2 linked regions of the Caenorhabditis elegans genome follow. The protein of the gene in region 1 purifies or fractionates together with the protein of each later gene. This does not show direct contact. Each region holds a gene or a part of one and is shown on either strand. Other genes may lie near its edges. The genes, in order: ncbp-1 and prp-38.

What was found.
Region 2: the proteins of ncbp-1 (region 1) and prp-38 fractionate together in Caenorhabditis elegans (co-fractionation; one large-scale study listed by BioGRID). This does not show direct contact.

The regions. Positions count from the first base shown.
Region 1 is NC_003279.8:6,419,877-6,423,802, reverse strand, and holds the start of ncbp-1 (Nuclear cap-binding protein subunit 1), read right to left. Parts: upstream 1,746-3,926; 5' UTR 1,698-1,745; coding exon 1,673-1,697; intron 1,617-1,672; coding exon 1,522-1,616; intron 1,477-1,521; coding exon 961-1,476; intron 912-960; coding exon 642-911; intron 531-641; coding exon 308-530; intron 215-307; coding exon 97-214; intron 54-96; coding exon 1-53. Other genes in the region: rbx-2 (RING-box protein 2), read left to right, coding at 1,954-2,003, 2,058-2,182, 2,791-2,954. UniProt on the Caenorhabditis elegans protein: Component of the cap-binding complex (CBC), which binds cotranscriptionally to the 5'-cap of pre-mRNAs and is involved in various processes such as pre-mRNA splicing and RNA-mediated gene silencing (RNAi).
Region 2 is NC_003283.11:10,804,435-10,808,360, forward strand, and holds prp-38 (Pre-mRNA-splicing factor 38), read right to left. Parts: upstream 1,601-3,926; coding exon 1,471-1,600; intron 1,426-1,470; coding exon 718-1,425; intron 533-717; coding exon 408-532; 3' UTR 287-407; downstream 1-286. Other genes in the region: secs-1 (O-phosphoseryl-tRNA(Sec) selenium transferase), read right to left, coding at 1-40; plrg-1 (Pleiotropic regulator 1), read right to left, coding at 1,763-1,822, 1,868-2,545, 2,599-3,163, 3,235-3,352, 3,398-3,461.

The sequences.
Region 1 (3,926 bases):
AGGTGTATCGATATTGGAAATTAGAAAGATGGAAACTGAACCAATCAACCATTCTGTAAAATAAAATTGAAATATGAAATTTGAAATATAATTTACCTGTCAATACAAACTGGTTGCATTGAATCTGCGCGCCGATAGATACACTCAACAGTTTGAACAAGAATCTGTGGATAGTCGTCTGGTTTAAGCTTTAGCAGTTCGAGAACGAGAGAGCCTGAAAGAAAATATAATTTAGTTATTTGGATTCTACATTAAACCCCCGCTAAATCGAGGTTTAATGGACTTTTAATGAAGAATGTTGACTTACAATGAAATATTGCTGGATATGGGGCATGTGGTAGACGGAGCATTTGACCGAAAATAGTTTCGAAAATAAGGAATCCAATAGGAACAGATGGATTCTCTTCTGCGAAAGCGAGAAGTTCACGAGCACATGCTTTTCTATTAAATTGATTTTTTTCAATGATCCAAGCGATTTCACCTTCGAAGAGGAAACGATCTATTGAACTATCACCGGGAAGGGGTTTACTCTGAAAATTATAATAGACCCTTTGAAATAATTTTCAGTAAATAAAAAAGATATTTCCTTGCTTAAAAAGACAAATGAACGAACAGTTTAGACAGTTTCAATTTGCACTTACAGAAAAGGCGGAACAATCCGCGTCTTGAAACAGACGGAAAACGACCAGTGGATATGGATAAATCATATCCGAGGTATGTTCTGGAGATTGAAAACTTGGCAAATTATGTTGGAGGGCATCTTGAAGGGTGGTTTCAAAACCAGAATAATGTCGAGGAATGTGATTTTCAACCCAATCCGCATTACGAAGAGCTTCAATCTGAGCTGATAAACTTTCGAGATAATCTTCTTGTTTTTGATCTGTCGAGCCTTCCCGCCAAACTTGGAGAAGCTAAAAATATATTATTTTTAGTTATTAACAAGTTTAATATTAATCTTACCGCAACGTGATTTTTATTTCTCAACTCGAGATACTTTCCAATCGCTTCTCCAATATTCTCCATTTGCTCGGGAGCTTTTTCAGTCAATTCTTTACCAATCCATGGAAGACAACGAAGAACTGTTTGGATATAATAATCATTACGAACTTGAGGCATGTTTTCCTCAAAAGCAGCTGCAATGAAGCTCTCCAAATATTCTCCAATTGATTGAGCTGTGAGCACTCCAGAATTTCCAAGATCACAAAGGAAAATAGCAAGATTTTGAGCCTCTTGATATTTTTGTTTTGAAAGAAGATCTTGCTGCTCAGAAATTAATTTTTCTACGACGTCTCCTCCGAAATTGAAATTCTTTGAATTCAACAGACCAACTAGAGTTGTGTATACAGTAACACGATTTGGGAGATAGATGGCACATCCAGCAATAATATCAATAATTGAAGCCCGATATTTTTCGAGATCATCATGTAAAAAAGCTGTGAGTTTATCCAAATTGCATTCGATCGATGAGCCAGTATTCTATAACAACATATTTTGGTTGGAAATTGATGTTTTATGTCTTACCTCTCCAACTTTTCCGATGACTCCCTGCAGTTTTTTTTCTACATCTTCGATTAGTGGAGCCCCGCGACGTCTTTTCATTTGAACTTCATCCTCATCTGAAAATCATTTAATTTTTTTAAACAAGATTTAAACAATGCAGGAAGTAGCTTACCATCGAATTGCCTTCTCCGCGACATTTTCGTTGTTTTTCGAACAAAATCTGATTAAATCTCACTGGTTTTGCTTGAGAAATCGCAAAAAAATCCGATGGAAAATTCGAAATTGAATATATTCTAAACAAGGCGCGCGTGTGGAACAGCGCAGTGTCGTAGGTTACTGTCTGACATCTCTGCGCCTCTTCTTCTCAACGCCACTTCTGTTTATGCAGCAAAAAACAAAACCGGTCTTAAATTGCCAATAATTTCAATAAATCAATAAATTATTGCAAAAAAAATGAACAATTCAAGCAATGCAGATTCACAAGAAGGAAGTACGAGTGCTCAGTAAGTCAATTATTTCCATTTCAATTAAATTCTCGAAATATAAATTACTTTCAGAAAGCAAAAAACCGCGAATCCGTCTGAAAGTCGTCCTTTTGTGCTCAAAAAATGGAATGCGTTAGCTGTTTGGGCCTGGGATGTTGAATGTGACACATGTGCAATCTGCAGAGTACATTTAATGGGTAAATTTTATTTAATTCAGTGGTTAAAAAGTTGAATCGCTTCAAAAATATAACAAAACTTATTTTTTTGATATTTTGTGAGATAAAAATGTCGCAGATAATTTTATGATGGTTTTTGGTTTAAAAAAATTTTCAGTTTTTTCTCTAAAAAAACACAATTCTACAGAAATCTTCCATAATATTTCTCTACCCCTAAATATCATTACAAACTTACGAAAAAAAATATTTTGGAGCATTTCTAGAGGTCTTGAAAAAAGTGGAAAAATGCACTGAAAAAGTTCAGATCGACTTTTTACTAGTTCGAAGTGCTCATATGCAGCTAAATTTTTTTAGTGATATGTTCAAAAAGTATTCTTTTGAAAGATATATTTGTATTTAAAAGTTCAGGAACAAGCAAAAGTGCTTGCTTTGAAAGTAAAAAACACGCAAATTTTCGTGAACAGAATAGGTAATATACAACTATGTCGAAATTGAAATATATTGTCCTTTTTTTTTAGCTTGCAAATATATATTTAAAATCAACATTTTTTAAAAATATGCATAGGGAGCAGGAGATCCACACTACCAGAATGAGATTTAATCCAATAATTATGAACAACTTTTTTCAGAAGAGTGTCTTCGTTGTCAATCTGAACCAAGTGCTGAATGCTACGTAGTGTGGGGAGACTGTAATCATTCATTCCATCATTGTTGCATGACTCAGTGGATTCGACAGAACAACAGATGCCCACTGTGTCAAAAGGATTGGGTCGTCAGCCGCACGAGCAAATAATGTATCAATTATCTACTTTTACACGTTCTTTCCCAATTTACATGTAATTTTTCGACTCTTTTTCAAAAGAACTTTTGTCTGTAAATTGTCTCTTCACCCACTTCTTCCCTCTCCATTTTTCACCCCGTTCTCCACTTTGTTCCCATTCACAAAAATAATGACTGTAAATAAAAATTCACACACACACAGACGACATATACACGAATATGAACACAAAGAAGCAGAGCAATAGAAAAAATGATTCTGAAAATTTCAAAGAAAAACAAAAGACGCCAGCCGTGACATGGTCGATTGTCTGGCGGACTATACGAACAGATACTTCTAGATTTTACTGAAACTGAGATAGATATATTTAAGAATGAGTTCAGGTGAGAACATTTACAGTTTGAATATTTTATAGAAAATTATCCGAGTTTCCAGAGTTTTTCCACCGTCAAGGAGTCTTCAAACGTGTCCGTTCAGTGATAATTCGACCAAGTCAAAGTCCATCCACTTCAGTGACACGTGGAAATCTGACAAGAAGTTTCAGTGCTCGTGGAGATGCAGAAAAACGAAATAGAGCAATACTTCGAAGACAAGATGCAATTGATGATGATGATCAAGAGTGAGTCTGAAGAGTTCAGCAATGATATTATTTGATTTAATTGTCCCTTGGGTCTCACCGCGCTCCCTTCATAAAACAGTTATTTTGTGTGCGAGTCTGTAAGATTACTGTAGACATATGAGTAATTGTCTTCTACAACACAAGTGACTATAGTATTAAATGTTTTGCAAAAAAAAGTTGAAAAAATCGATCAAAATTTCCTACAGTAACTTCAAAGGGCGCGTGCAGAAATCTTTGTTCATACATGCAGCGCGCGTGGCGAGACCTTTTTAAACGAATGCGGCTCCTTGAAATCAATCGGCGAAGCAACCATATACAGTGTACAAAAGAGGGTTGAAAAAGTGATGTTTCTCATTTCTGTACCCAAA
Region 2 (3,926 bases), on another chromosome or scaffold:
TATGCCCGGGAAGATTCATCAGAAGTTTTTCGAATGACATTGAATGAAAATTTTGAGCAAGTAAATAAGAGCTTTTTTAGAAGGTGGGAAGAAGTGAACTTTTGCCCACTTCCGATTGGTCCTCATTTTTTCTTGCTTTGCAGTTTCGGACAAAAGAGAAAAGTGCACCTTACATGACGTTTTAATTCTTCGCTTTTTTTTTGGAAAGTGGGTGACAAGTCGATGTGTTTGGTGCTTAGAAATATAAAATATGGCGGGTTACAATTTCTTGGCAAAAAAAAATGTGTTCAATTATTAGGATTCATTGTCGGAATAAAAGAGAATGTATCCTTTTCTGGACGAAAAATGTGAATGAAATAAATAAAATTAATACTTAGAACGAGGCTCGAATATTGAGAAAAACAGATTTATCGCTCGAGTGGAGCCAATCCCAATTTGGCACGGAGTGCATTCGCTTCTGCGATTTCGCGTTCTTCATCGTTGTCTGCACCACCTCGACGAGATTCTTTTTTCTTATCACGACGATCATCATCTGCAAATATAAATTATTCATGACATGGTACCTTTAAAAACATACATTGACAACATAATTTTTTCTGGTTAATCTAAATGAACATGCTTGACTATATCTATAAAACCAAAATAAAATCTGGGATTATTCAGATTTCCGTGAAGTTTTTATCAGAAAACCATAGAATGTTTGATTAAAAATATTACCTCTTCTATCTCGACGATCTCTATCCCGGCTTCTATCACGATCTCTTCTTCTGTCATCTCTATCATCACGTCTACCACTACCACTACTGCTTGGCCCTGGCTCATCGTCTCCTCTTTCTCTTCGTTCTTTCAGTTTTTCTCGTTCACGAACTTCTCGTCGATCACCAACATCTCTTTCGCGATCTCTGCTTCGACTACGTCTTCTAGATGTCAAACGTGGCTTCTCCTTCTTTGTGACTTCTTCCTCTTCAGAATCAGAATCACTCATTGCAACAAGATCACCATCAAGAAGTGACTTATATGACGGAAGCATGTCTACTTCTTCAAGAGCCCATCTCTTCTGTAGACGAGGAAGTTGAATGTCACAATAGCGATCTTCACGAAGTAAATTGTCGATGAAATCGTCCATGTAGATAGCTTCGAATCGACCCATCTTATTCATATATCTTAATTTACGAAAATCATTATATAATGGTTCGAGATACTTGTAAATTTCGGTTGAATCAAATGTAAGTCGAAGATACATTGCTCCTAGAGCTCTGATATACTTGAATTCCTCTTGTTGAATGAATTCAAGAACGATATCCTTGTCCGGCTGAATTTGTAGCATCTTGAGAGCGAGGCACAAAAAAGGAGTTGGTTTGATGTTTCCTGCGTAGATACCTCCGATGTATCGAAGATCCATTCCCTTGTCCACGACCAGTTCAGCTAAAAAAATAATGTTAAATTAGTGAATAGCAAAGAACAACTTACCTGTGAGCGCAAAACAGTGCTCTTTCCAGTACATGCTGTCATAAATACGCTGCCGGATGATTTTTTCGACGAGAAACTGGGGATTTGTACCTTTGACGGTTTTCGCCGCTTTCTCTGTGCGGTTTGCCATCTGAATTTTTAATTTATAAACAATAGAAGTATTAACGGTGGAAAGATATCGAAACCGTTATGTACGGTCATAGTATTGTTGCATCTGAGAAATGTTGAGAATATATTTTTTATTTTTCAGGTGTAAGTTAACAGATAAATAGAAACACAGGTAAAAAATATTTTAGTACGCCTTCTTTTTGACAATTTCTGGTCGCCAAACAATTGGATGGCTTTCCTCTGTCTGAAAAAAAAATTTTAATGTAAAATATATTTTTCCAAAACTAACTGCTTCATCATCTTCCTTGTACATTTTGATTGTCTTGTCAGCTTCAGCGGTAATAAGCCTGAGACCTGTCTTGTCGAAGCACGAAGCGTAGATCCCAGCTTCAGATTCTATTGATCCTGGTTGAGGCTTTGTTTGAATTTTCTGGAAGCAGAAACCAGATCTCCAATCCCAGAAGCACAACGATCCGTTGTCAGCGCCTGATACAACAACACCATCATCATTGGAAGACAGTGTATTGATAATAGCATTATGTCCAGAAAGATTCTGCATAAATTCTCCTTTGGGAAGTTTCCACTGTTTGATGTTATCTGGGGAAGCAGAAGCAAACATGTTGAGACGTGGATGAATTGTCAGAGCTCTCACTGATTTCTTGTGATGAGTTAATGTGCACATAGAACGTCCAGCGGCCAAATCCCATAGACGAACTGTCGCATCATGAGAAGCAGTTATTACTTGTGGATCAACTGATTGACACACAACATCTGCGACGGTGTTTGTGTGACCAGCAAAACAATGGACTTGAGCTTTTGTTCTCATATCCCAAACTCTAGCTGTAGAATCACGAGCGCAGGTGACTAGAACATCAAGAGATGGATGTACTGAAAGAGCTTGGACGGCACTTAAATGCCCATGATAATGACGGATCACTTTGTTGTATTCCAAATCCCAGCATTTAACCTAAAAACACATTTTGGAAGTTCAGATCACTAATTAGAGACAAATTATCTTACCTGTTTATCTTCTCCTCCACTGAACAAGAAAGGATGCCTTGGTGAAACTTTTACAGCTCTTACAGAACTGATGTGACCAGTCAATGATAACTTCAACTGTCCAGACGCTAAGTCCCAAATCTTGATAATACGGTCCGCTCCGCCAGAAGCAAACCATTGATTTCCCGGTTCAACATCAACTGCTCTGACCCATCCTGTATGTCCCGAAGCTACACGATACAATTTCCATGGAGCGTGCCATTTTGGTTTCATCATCATAGGCGCCTTTGAAGGAAGAAGCGATCGAGTTGTATTGTCTTCTCCTTTTGAACTGTTACCAAGTGGAACCAAAGGAAGCAGTGTTCCACTTTTTGCTGATCCTTGTTGCTGATTAACAAGTTTTCCTGATCCATCTGTGATAGCCAATGGGGTTCCAGCTGATGCGATCACTGATCCTGTACCGTGCATCGGTTGCGATGTTGGGAGAGCGAGCATTTCATTTTCTCGTCTCACTTTCATTTCTTCTACTTTTTTAATAACATTACCGTACTCGTGCTTTCTTTTCATTGACCGAATTAGACTGTCACTGAAATTATTTTTGTAGATTTAAGCTTTTTTAAGTTATCAAGGAAAACAATTTGAAAATGTGGAACTTACTTCTCTTCTGGCATTGGAGGTGGCTGTGCATAATCGTGATAAAATAAATCCTGTGCCCTTTTCAACGATTTAAAAACTTGATTGAGTAATGCTTTTTTGTCGGCTTCCGGTTTGTCCTCTGAATTAAGAATTTATTATTTAATTATTTTAACTACCAACAAACCGAGATCATCATCTGTTGGAGCAGCTGGCATTTGTTCATACGGATCGGAAACGCTTGCAGACATGTTTCTTTAAAACAAGACTATTAGAGTGGCTCAAGACTATCTTTTTGGAAGAAAAATAGGAAAAGTACAGAGTGAATAAATTATTCTGCTTTTAAAGGAAACTGGAGAAACAAAAACAATGATACAACCTTTATTTTCAAAACCACCGCTTTTCGAATAACCAGTGGGCGTGGTTTCGGGACACAATTGCAATACCCCCGCGCAAATGTTTGCAAGACCGCGGCACACATTACTCATTTGAGATTATTTTTTCTAATAAGCATTCAGCACTGCACACTGTGAGGACAATGTTTCGCAATAGAGCGCGCTAGAAAATGTCTCTGCGTCTCCACAGGGGGCGGGGCGATGGAAAATGAGATGAGAACGAAGACTGTGGCTAAAATCCTTAATAATGAAGATTATTAAACATTAAAAATAGATAAATGGATAGAAAAAACCATGTTCTAAAAGCCTATATACATAAAA